Linked DNA regions of Bombyx mori. The protein of the gene in region 3 purifies or fractionates together with the protein of the main gene of each other region. This does not show direct contact. Links are inferred from orthologs where the notes say so. Each region holds a gene or a part of one and is shown on either strand. Other genes may lie near its edges.

Region 1 (6,682 bases), on a different chromosome or scaffold from region 3:
TTATATAGTTCACACTTACTTGTTTCTTATTACATCTCTATCAGCTCTGGCATAAGGAAATTTTATGAAAGTATTTAAAATTGCAGGAGTTACAAGAGCATCTGTTACTTCCTTCACACATTTGCTTACAGTCGTTTGGCCCAAATATTTAGCCATTCCCACTAAGCGTTGGTAAGATCCAGTGGCATAAAAAGATAGCGCGCAAAGAACCTGAAATGTTTGAATTTTATGTTACATTTAAGCTTTTCTCACAATAGAGACTTGGCACTGCCCTTAGCATTGCTAACATACATGAGCGAGCGAGCGAGTGAGTTACCACTTACCATCATGTGGGCCGTATGCTCGTCTACCTACTGAGATAATAAAAACAAACTTACCTTAAGTTCCAAACTTATCCTGGAACTTGCTTTTAAAGATGTTTTTTGCTTAAGTTGATTACAAAGAAACTTGAATGATTCTTTATTCAACCGGTATCTATTTTTGAATTCCGCGTCATTTATGTCCACAGGATTATTTTTCTTTCTCAGAGCAACTCTGCGTGTAATTTCTCTATAAGTAATAAAACCAATTGATTCTCAATTAATTTATGTTTAAAAAATATTAGAATATAACACGATTGACTGAAGTAGGTACTTACCTAACTTCTCTTGATGAATATTCTTCATTTTCAAGTAAACTTGCAGCAACAAAATAATATAAAGGACTACGCTCGTACAACGGTGGTCTTTGCATTTTGAGCAATTTATTAAAATTAATTGTATATAAGAACTAACTAAAGTGATAAGAAAACACTATTATTTATAAAAAAATACTTAAAAAATAAAAACATGGAGAAAATTATATTTAAACACGTTACGAAACCTTTCTCACCAACAAATCTTAAGTGAATAAAGTTTCGACAATACTCGATAGTCAGTCGATACCCAGCCTTCGAAATTTACATTACCGTACGTCAAAACAGTGTTCGTGCTCGCAATTATAGCGTTTCATTGTTTATAAGGTTCAAGTATCGTTTACGTGACGATACGATTGCGATACGAAATTTGTTCGTGCTACCAAAATTAGTTCCTTTTACGTACGATAGGGGCGCTGTACAAATCTCATACAAATATAATTCGATAACGTTACGAATACATTTTCGCAAGTTATTCGTGCTAGGGCTACTGAGAAGTCTTGTTTGTCGCAGGCTCCCGCCGGTGTTTCCTCATGTCGGTCGTGATTTTCCGTTTTTGTGGGTTGGGTTTCCAACCACGTGCCCACTCTTTCGTCGAGTTCTGACTTACTGTATTCTGATTCGCTGTTTTCGTCATCAGATCCAGCTTCGAGCGTGGCCAATCGGGCGGCTGCTAACTCCACCTGTAGGCGGGCGAGCTCTTCTCTAGCTTTGGCTATCTTCTGTTCTTTTCTGTTTCGCGACCGGTCAGTTTTGACTGTACCGGTGCGCTGTTTTGTTGGCACGTCATTCTGTTTGGCTATATACTGTTTGACGGCCTCTGTTTTTGAGTTCCCAGGTTTCTCTGCGAGTTTCGTCGTGGCTTCCGTGTTGGCTGTTGCGCACGATGATTCTGTTGTGGGGGCTACCAGACTCATGACGGTATTCGCGGTTGTTTCTGTCCACATGCTCTGTGTTGTAGCTGTGGTTTCTGAGGGCGGCGACTGTTCAGTTTCGATCCGTCCTCTTCCTGTTGACCGCGTTATCGGCATTGTTCCAGTTTCCTTTTCAAAACGTATCCTCTACCCGGCTCGAGAGAATAATGAAATGTGTCCTCTATCCGGCTCGAATGGACCATGAAATGTACACGACCCGGTCTGTATGGCTGTTTCCGAGTCGTGTAATAATATTTTCTGCTGTCTGTTTGTGCGCTGGTAGAAGACGGCTGTTTCTTTCGATGGGTTTCGGCTTCTGTAGTGAGGTTTCACAGGTAACTGTCTGGTTCACTGGTAGCTAATTCACTGGTGGTTTTCTGATAACTGTACTATTGGAGAACTGCTGGTAACTGTTTCTGTCTTGCTGATGTTTCTTTGTCGGAGAGCTTCTGAGAACTGTTTCTATCTTGCTGATGGTTCTTTGTCGAAGATTCACTGGGAACTGTGTTTTGCCTGTAAATGGCCATCCTTTTATATTTATTTCAGTACCCCATCTCGCGACGCGCTATCGACGCGTCACTTTCGGAGGGTCCCTTGATCTGTATGTTACCGTAGTGAAAGCGCTCCACGAATTGTTCCTATTGGTCTATTCACATTCTCTGATCTGATACACTAACATATTGCATATTAAATAATTTAAGATTATACATTTTTGTTACGTAATTACTTATCAACTATATTATTAAATCTATTTGTTTGATAAAACTATTAAAACCCTATTTCGTCCTGCACAAAAATAATCGCTTTTTACTACATGCATATGAATACATATAAGGTACATACACCAAAATAGCATTTTTTACAATATTTATCTGTCTGTTGGTTCCAGCTAATCTCTGGAATGGCTGGACCGATTTTGACGGGACTTTCGCTGATAGGTAGCTAATGATATAAGGAGTAATTTAGGCTTTACTTTTTTTTAGACTACCTTCGACCCGCGGCGTCACCCGCGGTACGAGGGGACATAGCATCGCGGGACTCAGCTATCAATAATAAAATTTAATGTTTCCGAAGCGAAGCGAGGGCGGGTCGCTAATCTACAATAAAATCTGTGATAATCATGTGCTGTTTTTACAAACTATAGATCTATTATAAGGAAAACTAATGTCCGGATACATATTCGACCAAATATATACCAATAACTCAAGGTCCAATTTTGTATATACCACTTCCTCTTTTACTATCATTTTTAGTGCTACCCATCGGATTTGACAACTCATTTATATGAAACAGCTTAATTGTGACCTTATAAACTTTAGAACAGGCTTACCCCATATCTGCCAATAGCTGCCTCAATCTGTCAGCACCAGCCAGTGAATGAAGACGAAGATGAGGAGCCACAACTGGAGAATACTTCAACGCATTCTCCAAAGACCAGGTCCGGTAGAGTGGCAGGAACGCATCCTTTTCCATGCTTACTGAAGCACCCTGAGAATTAAAAATAGATTTATAAGAATATTTTCATACAAAAGTGTAAGTTTTTTGACGAAGCATGTTGCTGATAACTCTATTTCTGTAATCTGACGAAGCGTGTTGTGGATAATAATATGTACTTTTAGGTTATTAAAATAATATTCTGTGTAAATGTTTGGAAATAAAGTGTAAAAGAGATAAGTAAATCGTGTGTTACAATAGTTTTTCTATATTACATCTGTTAAGTACCAGTGTCAACATATCCTATTCTGCAGACCGAATGTTTATCACGGCGACGTCAACGTCGTCCTAAGCACGTCATTTCGCATCCTCCCGGTACACTAACGGTGCTTTTAGGTACCTCAAGCACCAGTCACCGTTCTCGTCGAACCCGTCGCTTGTAACGTAGGGTTCGGCTAGTAAATTAACCCACTACGCCCGAGATCGCGCTCCTCCGAGAGGAGTGCGTGCGGGCGCGCCGCCGAAGCGCCCGCCACCGCCGTCGCCGCCTTCGCGATGCGGACTTCGCGGAGGTAGCGGCCCGCCTGCATGCCGACTGCCGTCAGAAGCAGGAGGCACTGCGGCGGGTCATCGGCGAGGCCAAGTCTCAGAGCATGAAGACGCTCCTAGAGACGCTCGACCAGGATCCCTGGGGGCGCCCGTACCAAACGGTCCGCAAGAAATTGCGGCCGTGGGCGCTCCCGGTGACAGAGCGTCTCCAGCCTCAGCAGCTGCGGGAGATTGTCTCCGGGCTGTTCCCGCGGATGGAGAGGGACTTCGAGCCCCCCTCCATGGGCGCGCCGCCACGGGGTGATGTGAGCGGTGATGCCCCTGCTGAGGTGGTCCCTCCGAGTATCTCGGAGGAGGAGATTCGTGCGGCCGTGTCGAGGATGCGGAGGAAGGACGCGGCCCCCGGCCCTGACGGTGTTCATGGTCGGGTCTGGGATTTGGCCTTCGGTGCCCTTGGGGACCGGCTCGTGCGGCTCTTTGAAGCCTGCCTCGAGTCGGGACGGTTTCCGAAACAGTGGAAGACGGGCAGACTTGTTTTGCTGAGGAAGGAGGGACGCCCTGCAGACTCACCTGCGGGGTACCGTCCAATCGTGTTGCTGGACGAGGCGGGAAAACTGCTCGAGCGAGTGGTGGCCGCCCGCATCGTCCAGCACTTGGCGGGGGTGGGTCCCGATCTGTCAACGGAGCAGTTCGGATTCAGGGAGGGCCGCTCGACCATCGACGCGGTGATGCGCGTGCGCGCCCTCTCTGATGAGGCTGTCGGCCGGGGCGGGGTTGCACTGGCGGTGTCCCTGGACATCGCCAATGCGTTCAACACCCTGCCCTGGTCGGTGATCGCAGGGGCGCTGGAGTATCACGGCGTCCCTGCGTATCTCCGTCGGCTGATCGGGTCCTACCTCGAGGACAGGTCGGTCATGTGCACCGAGCACGGTGGGGCGGTGCTCCGCTTCCCCGTCGAGCGCGGTGTCCCACAGGGGTCGGTCCTTGGCCCTCTCTTGTGGAACATCGGCTACGACTGGGTCCTGCGGGGTGCCCTTAGCGCTCCTCTCCCGGGTCTAAGCGTAGTTTGTTACGTGGACGACACCTTGGTCGTGGCCCGGGGTAGGGACTTGCGCGAGTCTGCCCGTCTTTCCTGCGCGGGGGTGGCCTTCGTCGTCGGCAGGATCCGAAGGCTGGGTCTGGAGGTGGCGTTCGATAAATCCCAGGCCCTGTTGTTCCACGGGGCCCGGAGAGCGCCGCCTCAGGGGGCCCACCTCGTGATCGGAGGCGTTCGCGTCGAGATCGAGGCGACCGGGTTGCGGTACCTCGGCCTCGTACTGGACGGTCGTTGGAGCTTCCGTGCTCACTTCGAAAGATTGGGTCCCCGACTGATGGCAGCCGCCGGCTCGCTGAGTCGGCTGTTGCCGAACGTCGGGGGTCCCGACATGGTGGTGCGCCGCCTCTACACGGGGGTGGTGCGGTCAATGGCACTGTACGGGGCGCCCGTATGGTGCCACGCCCTGACCCGTGACAACGTCGCAGCGTTGCGACGTCCGCAGCGCGCGATTGCGGTCAGGGCGGTTCGTGGGTACCGCACCGTCTCGTTCGAGGCGGCGTGCGTGCTCGCCGGGACGCCTCCCTGGGACCTGGAAGCGGAGGCGCTTGCTGCGGATTACGCGTGGCGATGTGATCTCCGCTCCAGGGGGGAGCCGCGTCCCGGCGCGGCGGAAGTTCGAGCGCGGAAGCTTCAATCTCGGCGTGCCGTGCTCGAGGCGTGGTCTCGCCGCCTGGCGGACCCCGCCTACGGGCGACGGACCGTCGAGGCGATCCGCCCGGTCCTCTCGGACTGGGTGAATCGCGACCGAGGACGTCTCACCTTCCGAGCGACGCAGGTGCTCACGGGACACGGCTGTTTCGGTCGCTACCTGCACCTCGTCGCCCGGAGGGAGCCGACGCCGAAGTGCCACCATTGCAGTGGCTGCAACGAGGACACGGCGGAGCACACGCTCGCGTGCTGCCCCGCTTTCGCGGAGCAGCGCCGCGTCCTCGTTGCAAAAATAGGACCGGACTTGTCGCTTCCGACCGTCGTGGCTGCGATGCTCGGCAGCGATGAGTCCTGGCAGGCGATGCTCGACTTCTGCGTGTCCACCATCTCGCAGAAGGAGGCGGCGGAACGGGAGAGGGAGAACTCTTCCTCCCTCTCGGCGCCGTGCCGCCGCCGTCGAGCCGGGGGTCGGAGGAGGGCGTTTGTCCAGCTCCGGCCCCTATGAGGAGGCAGTCTCCTCCCGGTGATGGTCACGGGGCGACCTAAGGGGGCTGAGACTGCGCCGCACGCTACCGTCACTCTAGCGCGCTGGCACCAGGAGGACGGGACGACGCGTCGGCGGCTGCGGACTGCGATGCGGTCCGCATTTTCGTCGTCGCTGTCGTCGCCGAACACTGTGGAAGAGCAACCCGGTCGGCGGTGTATCGCGTTCCGACCCGGCAGGCTGGTTCTGGCCCAGCGGGGTATCCCGGAACACCAGCGGCATCGCCCGGGCGGCCTGAAGGGCCGCCGTACCGCGGAGACTGACGTCGTTGGTCGTCGACTATCGCCTCGACGACCCGTCGGTCGGGCGTCCTCGGGGTGGCGCCGCGTGTCTGGTTGTAGTGTTGACCGCGGGAACCCCCCTACTCTGACCGGGTTTTGACCCCGGACGGAGATCGGACGCCGGGTGTAAGAGTGCAGGGGAGTCGTTTAGTGGGTGGGCCCTAAATTCCTTGGGCCCGCGGTCTGCTCTCAACACCTGCAGATCGTTGAGTCTCACATACCCCGCGCGCCCCCTAGGCGCGGGGACCTCGTAGGAGGTTCGGCCCACGGCCCGGAAAAAAAAAAAAAAAAAAAAAAAAAAAAAAGTAAATTAACCCACTTACACAGCCCACTGAGTTTCTCGCCAGACCTTCCGATCCGGTGATGGATCCAAACCGATAGAAGCAGACCAGTGCTAGGGCTAGAGTTAGCAACGTCCACAGCTTAGAGCCCCGTGAGCTCACCTACTCTCTCGTTTACGCTGGCATAACCTCTAAAGGCTACCCAGCTTAAGTAATACCCGTGGCAATGTACAGTAGTTGTATCTCGTGCATGATATTGGTG
Region 2 (7,382 bases), on a different chromosome or scaffold from region 3:
GCAATTGTAAGGGATTGTTAAAACGAAACTATATTGACAGAAAATAACACCAATATGGAACTGTTAATGTAGGGATCAGGTAGTAGTAGCAACCCGCTCGGCGGTGTATCGCCTTCCGACAGGCTGGTTCTGGCCCAGCGGGGTATCCCGGAACACCAGCGCGAGGCGGCCTGGTAGGGCCGCCGTACCGCGGAGACCGACGTCGTTGGTCGTTGACTATCGCCTCGACGACTCGTCGGTCGGGCGTCCTCGGGGTGGCGCCGCGTGTCTGGTTGTAGCGTTGACCGCGGGAACCTCCCTACTCTGACCGGGTTCTGACCCCAGACGGAGATCGGACGTCGGGTGTAAGAACGCAGGGGTCATTTAGTGCGGTACGGTCCTAAAATTCCTTGGGCCCGCGGTCTCGCATTCGCGGACCAGCCCCACATACCCCGCCGGGGATCTCGTAGGAGGTTCGGCCTCCGGCCCGAAAAAATAATAATAAAGGGACAGGTAATAGCAGGGGTAAGCAATACCTCGGATTTTTAAGCGAAACCGATCTGGAAGCGTCAGAACACAACTTTTATAAAGTGGCACCACACTATAAATCTCTTTTAATGGCCACCGCTAATTACACAGGTATGCAATGAAATCCTCCTTTAAAATTTTTTGTCATAAATATGACGATTTAAATGTTCTGAATCTATACCCCTTGGCCGATTTTTTCCATCACGTCTAGATTTTTTGATATGTTTTTTTTTTCAAACCTTTATGGAACTCAAACTACTTATGGAATATTTGTGCTGATTTAAAAGTCGTCGCTATACTCACCGGATTACAATGAGGGTACACAAAGTTTTGCCGTTTTCTTTGTGAGTGGGACAGTCACGCAAGATAAAAACTTTAAATCCTGGGCTTAAAAATGTGTCTCAGAAACCTTTGGTGCCAAGTGAGAAAAAATTTCTGCCACCACTCACATAAGGTTGGGACTCAAGAAAAACTATATCTAAAATTAATATCAATGAATAATTTCAATATCTAAAAACCAAAATTCCTCGAATCAGTGACGCAAAATTGAAGGAAGAAATTTTTGTAGATCAACAGATACTTACGTGAGCTAATGAAAGATGAAAATTTTAATTCGAAGTTGAACGAAGCAGAAAAAAGAGCTTGGGCGGCTTTTGTGAAAGTTTGTCATAATTTTCTTGGGAACAGAAAAAGTGAGAACTACTGACAAATCATTCGGGAGCTTCTTTTTGCTTATAAAGCTTTAGGATGCAATATGTCACTCAAGATTTATTTTTCCGACTCTCTTTTAGATCTCTTTCCTGAAAATCTTGGAGCCGTATCAGATGAATATGGTGAAAGGTTTCATCAGGATATAATGCACATTGAAAAACGCTACAGTGGGAAATGGTCAGCAGCAGTGCTTGCTGATTTCTGTTGGTCAATTCGCTGAGAAACTCCAATAGAAACGATGACAAATAAAAAAACCACAAAATAAATCTTCTCACCATATAATGAGATAACTGACCGATATATATTCATTTTGTGACTATAATTTCAGATTTTTCACTGTAAAACTTAGACCGAAATATGTTTTCATTTCGTTATGATAATTGATATTTTAATAATATTGTTTGTTAATTAAATAAATATTATATGGGAATCTACGTGTGGTAACTAATTGTATGTCAGATTCCGTGTTTGGAGCACAAAATATAATGAATTCATCTATGAAAAAAAAGTAGAAAAAAATAATTTTTTTTGTAGACCTGTTACATATCGCACCCAGGCGACGGGACAAGGCAGCCGCCGTCGCCCAAAATTTATCTTGTCGGGTCCTCAACATCCGCTCTCGGTGCTTTTAGGTCTTTAAGCAGTGGTCATTGTCTTCGTCGAATTCATCGATTACTGACGCGTTGACGAACTGAACTGAAGAGTTCGACGTGCGAGCTAGTCCATAGACACAGCCCACTTAATTTCCCGCCGGATCTTCTAAGTGGGTCGCGGTTCCGATCCGGTGGTAGATTCTGCGAAGCACTGCTTTTGTTAGGGCTGGTGTTAGCATATTTTTCCAGGTTGTGCCCATGAGCCCACCTAATGGTCCGCGCGTAGTTGAACAGCCCCGTAGGCTACCGAAGATTAGGCAGTGAAAAATAAAAACTGTTGAGATTTGAGGTTTCGGTCTAAAACAACAGGTTATCAAATGTTTAATATAATAAGATCAACTCTAAATGCATGCAATTTTAAATATCTAAAAAGAATAAAAACAAGGTTACAATAAGTGTTTTTAATGTTATTACCACTTTTTGATTGTTACCAACCACTTTGTTACAAAATCATTAAAAAGTATTAAGAACTTACTAAACTTAAACTACACTTAACTACACTTAAAACTATGTATTTTGAGAGCTCCCTGATTGACTGAAGGTTGAACTATTTAAATTGAGCGATGGTGCTGTCTTTTTCGTTTTCTGTAAAACAAAAAGTTGATTATTTGTTACAAAACTGTACTGCAAGTACATATAAGAATAATTGCACTCAGATCTTCAATTTTAAAGCCCACCCAAATAACCTTGCTAAGCATCTAACGGACAACCAAATGACAACAAGAAGACTGAAGAAGAGTGTCTTCAGATCTACTAGATCCAGTGTAGATTCACTGATATGGACATTGTGCGTGTACTGCCTATCAAATTATTTTTGTCAAAACTACAGTTGAAAGTCTAAAGACAGCTTACTGTAATTTACTCTATAAAACAAATAAAAAAATCTTCAATACCGAATTTAAGTTTAACAATGATATTGATAAGACCAGGTTTACAAACTCCAAATTACCGTAGTTACTAAACCTTAGGTTAGCTGAACTCACTGCACACTCACAGTTTTAGTTTTGGTAACACACATCATCATCACAACAATGTGATTTGCCCTTCTACTAGGACACGAGAGTGAAGTCTAGAACAGAAATCCAAGGATCCTTCAGAGTAGAATGCATAAATGTGTCACGTATAAGATGGTCCGAAGGATGGTACATACATTCAGAGATATTCGTAAAAAGGACAAAGTGGAGATGAAAATACAGAAGGATGTGTCTAAAGGAGAGTATATTACAATTTGTCACACATGTTCTTACCATTTGCATCCTTAAGAGGTTGTCCATAGCAGCAGGTAGAAGAGGTTTCACTGAGTTTATTTCCATCATTGTTAAATGATCTAATCTGCCATAGCCACCTGAAAATGTCAATTATAAATGTCCTGAATTTAACTTATGACTGAGTAAGTCACATTCTATATTTTTTTCTTATCTTAATTTAAGCATACCATTCTGGTGTTAAGTTGTTACCGAAGACCACATATCATCATTATAGGCTTTCTGATCCATGCAGGTTTACAATATCATCAGTTACAATAAAATAAAATATAAAATCCTCTCAATTCAAAAATCTTTAAAATGTAAGTTAAAAGTACTTAAAAGTAAAGTATTTTAAAGGAATCATTACAAACCTCCAGTTTTCATCAATGCATCCATTGATGTTCGTAACTTAGACATTCTTATATCCCAGATGTCTTTGATAATAGTCTTTATTTCTGGTGCATTGGGAACATCTTCGGCAGCTGAACCAAGTATCAGTTTGGCTTCCACCATATAGTGTTCATTTGGCATCTTTGTGAAGAATCTGGTAGTTTGATAATTTTAGGAAGATTTAATGTGAAAACTTTGACTACTACAACTACTTGCTTTATCTTGCTGATAATTCTCAAACGCCATTTAATGATAGATTTTATATTTACACACCCTTTCATGAGTACTGGCAAAGATATATTTATTGACCAATGAACTTCAAGTTTTTTAATCATGTTACAATTTGAGATTTATTAACAGGTAGACCACTAATAGTTATTGTTTAGTATCAGTGTTAGAATGGATGGCTCTAGAAGGTATTTATAACATAAACCATAATAATAAAATATACTTTTTGATTTAAAATTAAGACATGGAAGTTGTATAAACAAAATATTAAATTGTATCTGGAATAAACTGGACCACCTAGAAAGATCAAAGTTTTGAAACTGGTGTGTTTTGTAAAAAACCAAATTTATTAAATATATTGACAAACCTGGAACGCTTTTCCTCTTCTTTAATATTCTCCAAAACTTCCACGTCCATCCAGTCAGGAGGGATAACATGGCACTTTTGTTTCTGCTTTAGCATGATAGCCAGCCAGAGTGGTACGTTCACAGGTAAACCAGCACGAAACGGACCAAATTCACCGCATATCAAGTATATTTTATCATGGGTAAAGTTTGGTGTTATACTGATTATCCGATTCTCACCAATAAACTCGATTTCATAAGGTTCCATTATTATTTTTATGGTTTTAATAATTTATAATCATTTAATAATATACATATATTTAATTTAATTCATTTTGGTTAAAAATTTAGGAATATTACCTACCTTTATCATGTTTTTATTTATCATATTTTTTTAGGTATTTTATATTATGACCTGGTAACTAAGACTTTTAAGTCATGTCTTATTTTAATTTATACTCTTATTTTTATGAAAAATGATGAAATGAAATGAAGATAATTAATTTGAGACATTAATTAACTGGGATGAAATCAAATGAAATGAGATGAGATGATATGGGATGAACTATAATCTCAGTAAAATGGTGGTCATTTACTGAGATTTTTTCGTTGGACTTTTGGAGGATCCCGAGAAGTGACGTCCAGCGGCTTTGTTTCATTTTCCCACATTTTTGCACTTTCACAGATATTAAACAGTTAATAAACCACCATTATTACACATATAAACCCAAGAAACACTAAATAGACAAAATAAAACAAAACACACAACTTCACTCCTCGCGTTCCCGCCAAAAAGTCGCCTTATCTTTATCACTGATCTCAAACGTCATAGAGCGAGATTAGTAGACTTGCCAGCTAAAATCGGTACATTTGTACTATTTTGTACCCAAAATCGGTATTAGTCAAAAAATATACAATATTCAATCAAATGCGTTTATTTATTGAAAAAAAAACTTACATACTAATTTATAACAATCATATTTAAGAATAAATATTTTTTATACCAATATTGTTTGGCCATAGCTGCAGTCATCGTTGAATTAATTTCAAAATCATAGCAATTAGCTGTATTATAGAGTCGTTTTGCATGTAATAGACCAGTGATTGACTCAGTAGACAGCCTATTTCGCTGTTTTGTTTTCAAAAGAATAAATATGCGTTCAACGTTAGCGGATGAATAGGAAAGTGATAAAATATTAAGGATGAAATTAGACAACAAAGGAAACATTTGAGTTTCATCGCCACGTTTTAATAAAGTTACTTCTTCCCAAAATAGTTCTACATCATTAGGAAATGTTTTGATTTATTCACAATTTCTTAAAATGCGCTACTCTATCAATTTCCTGGAAATCATTGCTCTGAACAATATTGGGAAAGAGCCTACTTTTAAGTAGTATCGAAGTAGTCTTGCCAATTTTAACATGTTTTGGATCAATAATGTCTAAAAGTGTCAAATCGGTAGAAAAATCGGGAGAATTTCCATGTATACTCTGAAATCGTAGAAAAATCATTTTATTTCGGTATTTCAATAGATCAGTGCCCATATCGGTAGATATACCGAAAAATCGGTAGGTTCGAGACCACTGATATTTACTCTTGTTTATAGAGCTTAATTGTTTGACTTTGAAACTCAAATAGTAAGTGTTCTATGCTTTGACATACTGACATAGTGATGCAGATTTTTTGGCGGTAAGTGACCACCATTTTACTGAGATTATATTTCATCCCAGTTGATTAATGTCTCAAATTAATTATTTTCATTTCATTTCACTCCATATTATCATTTTTCATAAAACTATGAATATAAATTAAAATACGAAAATACGAAAAATGACCTAAAAGTCTTAGTTACCAGTTCATAAAATCCCTTAAAAAAAAGGAAAATTGGCGGGAATAACGTTTAAATAATACGACTTAGTAGATCGAATTTATGAAATAAGTTTCATAAATCCAGTGTTTTAAATAGCTGTATGAATGGCGATACTGGAAGTAGGTAATTAAGTTTTAATTTACATGTTTTCTTTAAATTTGCTTATTTAAGCGTCATCTATGCTACATTTAAATAACTGACATAGATGGTTTGTTTTCACTAAAGCTGGCGTAGTTCAGATGATTGAACTAGGTGGCACTAAAATAAAAAAAATCTACTTTAAAAAAAATCGTAGTTATAGAACAATTTTAAGTGGAATCGTAAATAAAGAACATTAAATAAGTGGGTATTATTTTTGTGAATTGCTTAATTTAAACTCAAATTGCATAAGTTAGCCTTACATGTAATTTAGTCGTTAGCATAATCCTGAAATAAAACGCGAAACTCGCTCACTCTTCATCTCTCTGCATAAAAGTAAAACATTGAAATTACCATTTAAAATTATTGACGTCATTTACGAGTGGCGATCGATGCAAATCGTTTTGGCAGAGTGCAAACTCCTAATTACTCCTCGTAAATTAGGGTAGCCGGTTGACAATGTCTCAGACGGGTGATATTTATGGCTCTATATTATTGGTGGGGACTCACCCCCTTGTGTCAGAGAGAACAGTAAGTTTATGCGTCTCTTAGTTTGGAAAAAACACATACATTGCTCTGTCTATAAACTGATCACTATGTATTTCATTCGCCCAATTTCAGTGCTAAGTCTACTATTTCGTCGGAGTTTTTAGTAACGCACCTATTCGACACTATGAAAATGGCAATAAATTTTATTTTGAACGAATCATATTTAATCTGTAGAGTCTATCTTTTATCATAGAAAATACTAATATTTCATTTATTTTCTGGTAAACCTTTGAAATATGTAAACATACTACAGTGAAATAATCACAAGAAGAAAAAGCATTCAGCGATTTCACGAAACATAAAAACGTCACAGATAAAAAACATCTTGGAGATTTATAAAAGTAACCTGTCTTGAATGCGACAAATAAATAACAGATGTGTCTGCACGAGCGAAAAACACATTGTCTCCGAGCAACAACATTCAACATCTTTCTTCTTAAATCTGCATACAAATTCGTGAGATCGCGCCCGGAAATTCAGCTAGTCATTTAAAACCCATTCTGTTTTAAGGCGTTTTTTCGCGCCATAAATATGTCAAATGTGACATTCGATGCATCTAGCGACATCTATTTTCAATACGTATGTACTTCCATTACGTTTACTAGTTTCAAATTTCCACAAAAGGTGGCGGTTAGAGTCACAACTAACAGTATTTTCCAAGTTCTTAATTAAACGAAACTAATGTTTTTTGTTTGTAACATGTCCAGAATAAATTCATTAAATACACCTATTAGTTCAAAATACA
Region 3 (7,274 bases):
CGAACACCGGTGCATCGCTCAACACGAATGCACCGGACGTCTTATCCTTTAGGCCACGACGACTTAAAAATATAGTATCGTTATGTGTCTGTGCCCACCTCCGGTCGCCTGTCTCCGGGTCCGTGGTGACGGCAGCCGTGAGCCCGACGCCGGACGAGCCGCGGCCGGTGGTGGTGATGGCGCGCGGCGCGGTCTGCACCACGTAGCGGAGCAGCTGGGACTTCGCCACTGATGGGTCGCCGATTAGCAGAACGTTGATGTCTCTGTAAACGAAAAACAACCGTAATGTTTTAGTACTAAATGACAGCTTTTAATTTGTGGCGGTAGCCATCATACAACACAAGATATTTGACAGATGCGTAAATCTGGCTTGCGACATTCTCAAGATAAGCTCGCATATATACAAGATCCAAACAACAAGATCTTCTTTTTGTCGGTATAACTACAAATTAAATATAAGAAGGCACACGAAACCGACCTCCAAGTGGAATGTACCACGCAGAACGCAATCAAAAACAATGGCGTATCCAACAAGCTTGCAAAATACAAAATAAGACAAGGTACGGTTTCATTTTGTAATTTGGGGATCTCTTCCCAAAGTACATGTAGAATCCGATCTTTAAGGAAACTGCATTTTACTATTTAATTCATAATGTCACCCATGATCCTACTTTTCCAAGCTTTCTTCTCGTACTCTTTAAGGTGATTAATCAGTTTTATGTGATTATTTAAGATTTTTTTATTACGATGATTTAAGATTATTTTAAGAGGAAGGAACAATAGGGATTGCATTTTCATCTATTGAATTTGTTATTTTATTAATTGTCCAAACAAATAGACAAAGTAGTGATAAAGTAACAAAATGGCAGTAACACTTCGAAGTATAACAAAGTCCTCGTTATACTTTGCAACATTCTCCCGTAAGTAAGAATTAACTAGTGAAATCGAGGTTTCTCCTTTACAAAAATGCTAACTACTAATACTCATTTATGAAGTAATTAATACAGAACTACCATACTTTAATAGTCCTATGACTAAAACCTTCTCTGAACTGCCAATGGCTGATCACAATTGCAACTCATTCTGATTTAAAAACATGCAAACATATAGGTCACAAGCAAACAAATTCATCCTTTTGTATTCAAACCCACCAATACATACTCACCCTCGCAATCTTGTACCATTTGGCAGTACCTTCTCCATGCCTCCAAGCAATAAGCACAAAATAGCTTTCTTGATATAATCATGACCATGGATTGACGGAGCTAAAGATTTGCTCATAAGTTCAAACATATCAACATTCTTTCTCTTTGCGAGTCTTTTACAGATCTTAACATCTTCCCTGTTTATTGACATGTTCATATTCTTGTTGATTTGTGTTATATTGTTAGCTATAAGGATTGTTCTGAAAAAATATAACATTACTTTAAATTGAATCCTCTATGGACTGGGGTAAATAGACAAATGTAAAATATGAATTCAGTATGTAATATTCAGGAATAAGTATATAATAATGGTTTTAAATGAAGGTACTATTGTTTTATTATTTTGTTTAGTGAATTATAAATTTAAGAAAACATGCTGGTTACCCAAGATGGTTCAGTGTCAATAGCAATCCTTTTTATTAAAAGAAGAACAAATACTTTCTTGAATACCCACACTGTCGGTACCTTTGTGTGTAAAGGACTTTGAGCACTATATACTGGAGTGGTCCTTTAAAATGTACAGCACCAGACACATATTGATGACAATTCAAAAGAAACAAAACCTAATTAAATTCTTATAATGATCCTTTTCAAATGTATATTTCATAGCGGAAGGTAGCGGCTTGGCTCTGCCCCTGGCATTGCTGAAGTCCATGGGCGACGGTAACCACTCACCATCAGGTGGGCCGTATGCTCGTCTGCCTACAAAGGCAATAAAAAAAATGTATATCAAAAGGTAACTTCTCTTCATACCTGAATGTTCCAGCAGTAAAGCTTCCCTGCTTATTGGGCAGGCATCTATAGTTCCCTACAATCTGCACCCGGTCTCCTGGTTTACATTTGTCTACTAGATCATCATCACATATAATATCTACACTTCTTGGCAGTTGCCCAGCTGGTGCCCGTTCGGGCATCTCTTGAACGGTAAGGGTCTGATGATCTTTGTACCGCGAAAGTCCATATTCAGTTTCTAGAGGATTGCCTTCATCATCCTATGAACATACGAGTTACACTATAAATGTTACTCATAAACTTCAGACACAAATGGCAAAATATCACCAACCTGTCTATTTTTACTATGACACAGTTTGAAAGGTGGACCGGACCACACAGCTATTCTACTATTAAACTGAGATTTAGAGCTCATGGCTCAAGGTAGGTGATGATATTTTGTTGATGTCTATGGGCTCCAGGTTAAATCCAGGTGGGCTGTGAGTTTGTCCACCCATTTAAGATATAAAAAGTTAAATTTTTTTGACTACAATTATAGAAGTGCTAATGTATCTATAAATCGTAAGATAACTTTAAAATTAGTAACTTATTATGTCATCCAATATAGCAAAAGAATCAGTTAAAATTATGCTTATCTTTACCTATTTTGAAAACATTTAAAATAAGTTTAGTTCACAGATTCTGATCATAATGTGTCGTGAAAATAAGTAGTCGAAGTAGCAAAATAAATAACAAATGTGTAGTAGCTGTCTACGACAACTGGCAAAATACAGAGAAAATACCACATTGTGCTGAAGTAGTCTACTACTTCAGCACAGAGTAGAAGGTTTTTTTAGAAGGTAGTCTAATGAGATCTTTATATTTCACTAACAATTTCTTGTTATTCTATTCTAATTTTAATTAATGACTAAACTATGGACCTTAGTAGGGTATACAGCAGAGGTGGGAAATGCTTCAAATGAAGTTAGATCGGTATATTTCCTTTCCATCACTTTTTTGGTAACTGGACAATAATGTACACTTCTGACCACCTTAGGACGAACCAATGATACTCTAGTCACTATGCCTTCCACACAGATTAGATTTCCGAGGTACCTGGAAATATTACAACAATTAGATAAGTGTGAGAAAAACAAATAATATTCTCAATCAATTCTAATCTGACTAATATCTAAAGCACAATACATTGTAACTTATCCTGAATCTTTCTTTTATGCAATTTTTTGTAAATAAATCTAGACTCATTTTGTACGTTTGAGCTTATTCAGCTACTTTAGACCTCTGTTTTTGTATATGATCATAAAAAAAACGCTTACAGCTCAAATATTTATGGAAGATTGTAAATTTTCAGTAGTATTCAGCAGTAAATTTCTTGTTCCATCTCCACATGTATAGTATGCACTGAATCTTAAAACTATATAATTATGAAATATTTTTTTCATTGAATCTAGTACTTTTATATATATTCAAACAGATTAATTTTGCACACAGAAAACAAACAAAAATAAATTTTAGGTGAACCCATCACATATCATAAAACAAACTTAGTTTTAACCTTACAAGCTCGTTAATTATAGCACATCTTAAAATTAAAATGACATAATTCAGCAGTAGAACTTTAATAAGCATGTTTATAAGTAATAACCCACCTAGATGTCAAACTTCGGGGTGTAACATGTTTGTTACCAAAACTTCCTGAGAATGCCACAAAAAACTCCTCTTGAATTTTAGCATATGTAGGGTCTATCGAAGACACATATTCTTTTAAAGCCTTTTGGAATGCTATCTGTTCTTCAAAGGCATTCTCTAGTAAATTCTTGGCACGTTCAGGACTTTTACGCCTTAAGTCATTGATGCTGACTAAGAGGCGCTTTGATTTATCTTCTATCATCTGTTTCACTTTTTCCATATAAATTTCTTGATCTTCCTGGACATTTAAAATTAATTTATATATTAACAAATTACAGAGAAGCTGTCAACGTGTCGTAAATTGATTATGATAACTTAGCAATATTGAAATCCACAAAAAATATAAAACAAGAAACGGAAAAAAATAGAATAAATCAGTTTCTTCTATAATTTCAAAGCACTTCACTTATGATTATTTAAAATCATATCTATAAAGATGAGTGCCTCCATTTTTAATGGGACAGGAGGTTGAAATACTTCATTATTTTATTTCAGATATTAAAACTTATTGTAACCAGAAAAAAATTTAAAGCTTTCATTTACTTCAATACCTAATATCAAAAAATAATTAACTCACACCATCGTCAAGAAATTCGAGGTACTCCCTTTGTAAGTCTCTCAAACGTTGATCGAAATCACCTTCCTCCATATTGAACTTAGCTTTAAAAATTGTTATATTTTGTTTCAGTTGTTTTAACACTTAAAGTTAACCAAAATCAAAAAGTCGTTGCGTATTGTTGAATTTATTTTGATTGAGATGAGAGTTGTAGAGTCCAATATTTCTCACGATCACTGCTATGAATAGCGTTAGAATATTATGGTTTATTTCAAACTTTAATAGAAAACTTTAACAATTACACAAATAAAATCTTATCTAAATTATAACTATCACAAAAAGTTAAATCTAAAAAATTTCAGCAGTTGGCGCGATTTCTCGCAAATAGCCAATGCGAACTAGGCTTGTTGAAAAAATATCGATACATCGATATATCGATATAAATTTTTTAAATTATAGTTATTTTTGAGCTTTATTTAATACTTCAATATATATCGATCGATATAAAATTCCAAGTATCGAAAAGGTATAAAAGTCGATATAATAAAACAATGTTTTCAAGACATAGCATAAAAATATAATAATGATAGATGGTAAAAATGACAATGTGTTCGAAGTATATTTCAAATAATGGAATATGGAAAAGAAGGTTACAACATTCCTCCCCATCTACATCTCGTTGATCAGACGGCGGGGTGCCTGTATACGTCGATTACTTCGACGCGCAGCAAATGGCACAGGAGTGGAGACCGGAGCAGGTGAGGAGTATAACTTCGAATGCTGTGAAGGTGAATTTGGAGAAATTTGTACATTTGTAGGTGACTGCGGTGTAGGTAATGGTACTGCTGCTGAATTCTTGTTTTTAGTTAGCCTTTCGTTAATTGTTGTTTCCATTCCAATGTCTGGAGAAGCAGTCGCCGGCAGCATAGAAGAATGCGCCCTTTCATTCCTCGGGGTTTCTGAGGTGGAGGACTCGCGTGGCCTGATGTGATCAGCGTGTCTTCGTTTTTCTAGTCCTCCTGGTGTTGAAACAATATATGAATATTTATGTTTTCGGGATGTAATTACCGCTGGTTCCCATATTTTATCATTGCGTGTTTTAATATATACTTGGTCACTTGGTCGGTAACTCGGTGATGTGGTACGAATGTTTTCTTTTACTTGTAAATACTGCATTAATCTTCTTTTGTCTGGCCGAATGTTGGAAAGTATGCAGTTCAATTGTCGTCCAAACATCATCTCAGCTGGAGATTTACCAGTGGACGAGTGCGGAGTGTTTCTGTATGTAAACAAAAATTCTAATAGTCGGCGCTCGAGATTTGTGTTGTCTACCGATGCCATTCTATTTTTGAATGTTCTGACTAAACGTTGTGCCAGCCCATTTGTCCGAGGATGATATGGAGATGATGTGACATGTAAAATAGATTGTTTTGTGCAATATTCTTTAAATTCATAAGATGTAAATTGAGGTCCATTATCGGATATAATCATTTTTGGTAAGCCAAATGTACAAAATATGTTATCTAATGTAAGACAAAGTGATCTGGTGTTGATGTGTTTCATCGGTCGTATTTCCACCCATTTGGAGAGAGCGTCGCACAATACCAACCAATACGATCCTTCGAACGGTCCAGCAAAGTCGATATGGATTCTCTCCCATACTTCTTCTGGTATGGACCAGGAAAATACAGGAAGTTCAGGATTACAAGGGCGGTTCTGTTGGCATCTGGTACATTTCTTGACAAATAATTCTATGTCTTCGTCAAGGTTAGGCCACCAAACATAGTAACGTGAAAGTGCTTTCATAGCAGAAATGCCAGGATGTCCTCGATGAAGGTATGTAAGAATGGCTTTTCGGAGTGCTGTAGGTATAACGATGCGTCCTTGCCTCACAAGTATCTTATTCTCAACAGATAATTCAGTCCGGTTTCTGTAGAATGGTTTCATTTCTGGATTGTAATCTGATTCTCTCCAGCCGGTTTTTAAATTTTGACAAACTTTTGTGAGTATATGATCCTTTGAAGTTGTTTTCATAAGTAACTGTTCTGATAGATTAAGGTCAGTCATTCGAGTGCTCAAAAGACGTAGATCTATTTTATGTACAAGCCCTTCTGTCTCGGAGGGTTCAGTTTCAGGGTTTGGTAATCTGGAAAGGCAATCAGCTAATGTGTTATTTTCACCTTTCCTGTAGTAAATGTCATATTGATAACTTCCCACTACTAGGGCCCATCTTACCAATCGGTTATTGGCTAGTTTAGGAAGGTTGCGGTGTGCACCCATAATATGTATAAGAGGCTTATGGTCCGTAACTAGATTAAATTTCGTTCCTCTCAAGTACTGATCAAATTTTTTTATACCAAATACTATTGCTAAAGCTTCACGATCAATAACGGAATATTTCATTTCCGCTGGTCGTAGTTTCCTTGAAGCAAAAGCAATTGGTTGTTCTATGTTCGAGTCCTTGTGGAATAATACTGCACCCAATCCCTTGTCGGAAGCGTCACATGCTAAATAAAGGGGACGTTTCTCGTCAAATGCAATTAATGGTTGTGAAGAAGTTATGCATTTCTTTGTATCTTCAAATATTTTTTTTTTTTTCCTACCTAAGCTGATAGCCCTAGCGGCTATTTCAGCGTAGCCTTAACTTTAGTAGGTGAGCTCACGGGGCTCAAACCTGACGATGTTGCTAACACGAACCCTAGCAAGAGTCGTGCTTCGCAGAATCTACCACCGGATCGGAAACGCGACCCACTGAGAAGATCCGGCGAGAAACTCAGTGGGCTGTGTCTGAGAGTTAATTTACTCGTCGAGCCCTTCGTCGCAAGCGACGGGTTCGACGAGAACGGTGACCGGTGCTTGAAGTACCTAAAAGCACCGTTAGTGGATCAGGAGGATCCGAGATGACGTGTTTAGGGCGACGTCGACTGCTTTCCATTCTGTCCGCAGGATCGGGAATGTAGTTACCGGCGGCCACGATGAGAGGGTTCTCGTGTCGTGCCGCTTTATCGAAGTGGCGCATGGACGCCGACTGTAGATACTTACTGATGGACTCTAAGTCCAGGTCGTCATGGAGGTCGACGTTCCTGACGAAC

The links.
Region 1: the proteins of DNA replication licensing factor Mcm3 (region 3) and cell division control protein 45 homolog purify together in Drosophila melanogaster (affinity purification with western blotting; 5 studies listed by BioGRID, with this or other methods). This does not show direct contact. The link is inferred for Bombyx mori from reciprocal best matches to the Drosophila melanogaster genes Mcm3 and Cdc45.
Region 2: the proteins of DNA replication licensing factor Mcm3 (region 3) and probable DNA replication complex GINS protein PSF2 purify together in Drosophila melanogaster (affinity purification with western blotting; 3 studies listed by BioGRID, with this or other methods). This does not show direct contact. The link is inferred for Bombyx mori from reciprocal best matches to the Drosophila melanogaster genes Mcm3 and Psf2.

What each region holds. Positions count from the first base shown.
Region 1 is NC_085122.1:1,046,703-1,053,384, forward strand, and holds part of cell division control protein 45 homolog, read right to left. Parts: intron 3,076-6,682; coding exon 2,918-3,075; intron 780-2,917; exon of another isoform or gene 733-779; coding exon of another isoform or gene 638-732; intron 550-637; coding exon of another isoform or gene 378-549; intron 211-377; coding exon of another isoform or gene 20-210; intron 1-19. Other genes in the region: putative nuclease HARBI1, read right to left, coding at 20-210, 378-549, 638-732.
Region 2 is NC_085116.1:1,523,458-1,530,839, reverse strand, and holds probable DNA replication complex GINS protein PSF2, read right to left. Parts: upstream 4,882-7,382; 5' UTR 4,349-4,881; coding exon 4,104-4,348; intron 3,663-4,103; coding exon 3,490-3,662; intron 3,217-3,489; coding exon 2,921-3,216; 3' UTR 2,457-2,920; coding exon of another isoform or gene 2,379-2,456; 3' UTR 2,258-2,378; downstream 1-2,257. UniProt on the Drosophila melanogaster protein: The GINS complex plays an essential role in the initiation of DNA replication.
Region 3 is NC_085112.1:2,201,772-2,209,045, reverse strand, and holds the start of DNA replication licensing factor Mcm3, read right to left. Parts: upstream 4,598-7,274; 5' UTR 4,276-4,597; coding exon 4,204-4,275; intron 3,865-4,203; coding exon 3,587-3,864; intron 3,033-3,586; coding exon 2,858-3,032; intron 2,198-2,857; coding exon 1,959-2,197; intron 1,406-1,958; coding exon 1,166-1,405; intron 264-1,165; coding exon 99-263; intron 1-98. UniProt on the Drosophila melanogaster protein: Acts as a component of the Mcm2-7 complex (Mcm complex) (Mcm complex) which is the putative replicative helicase essential for 'once per cell cycle' DNA replication initiation and elongation in eukaryotic cells.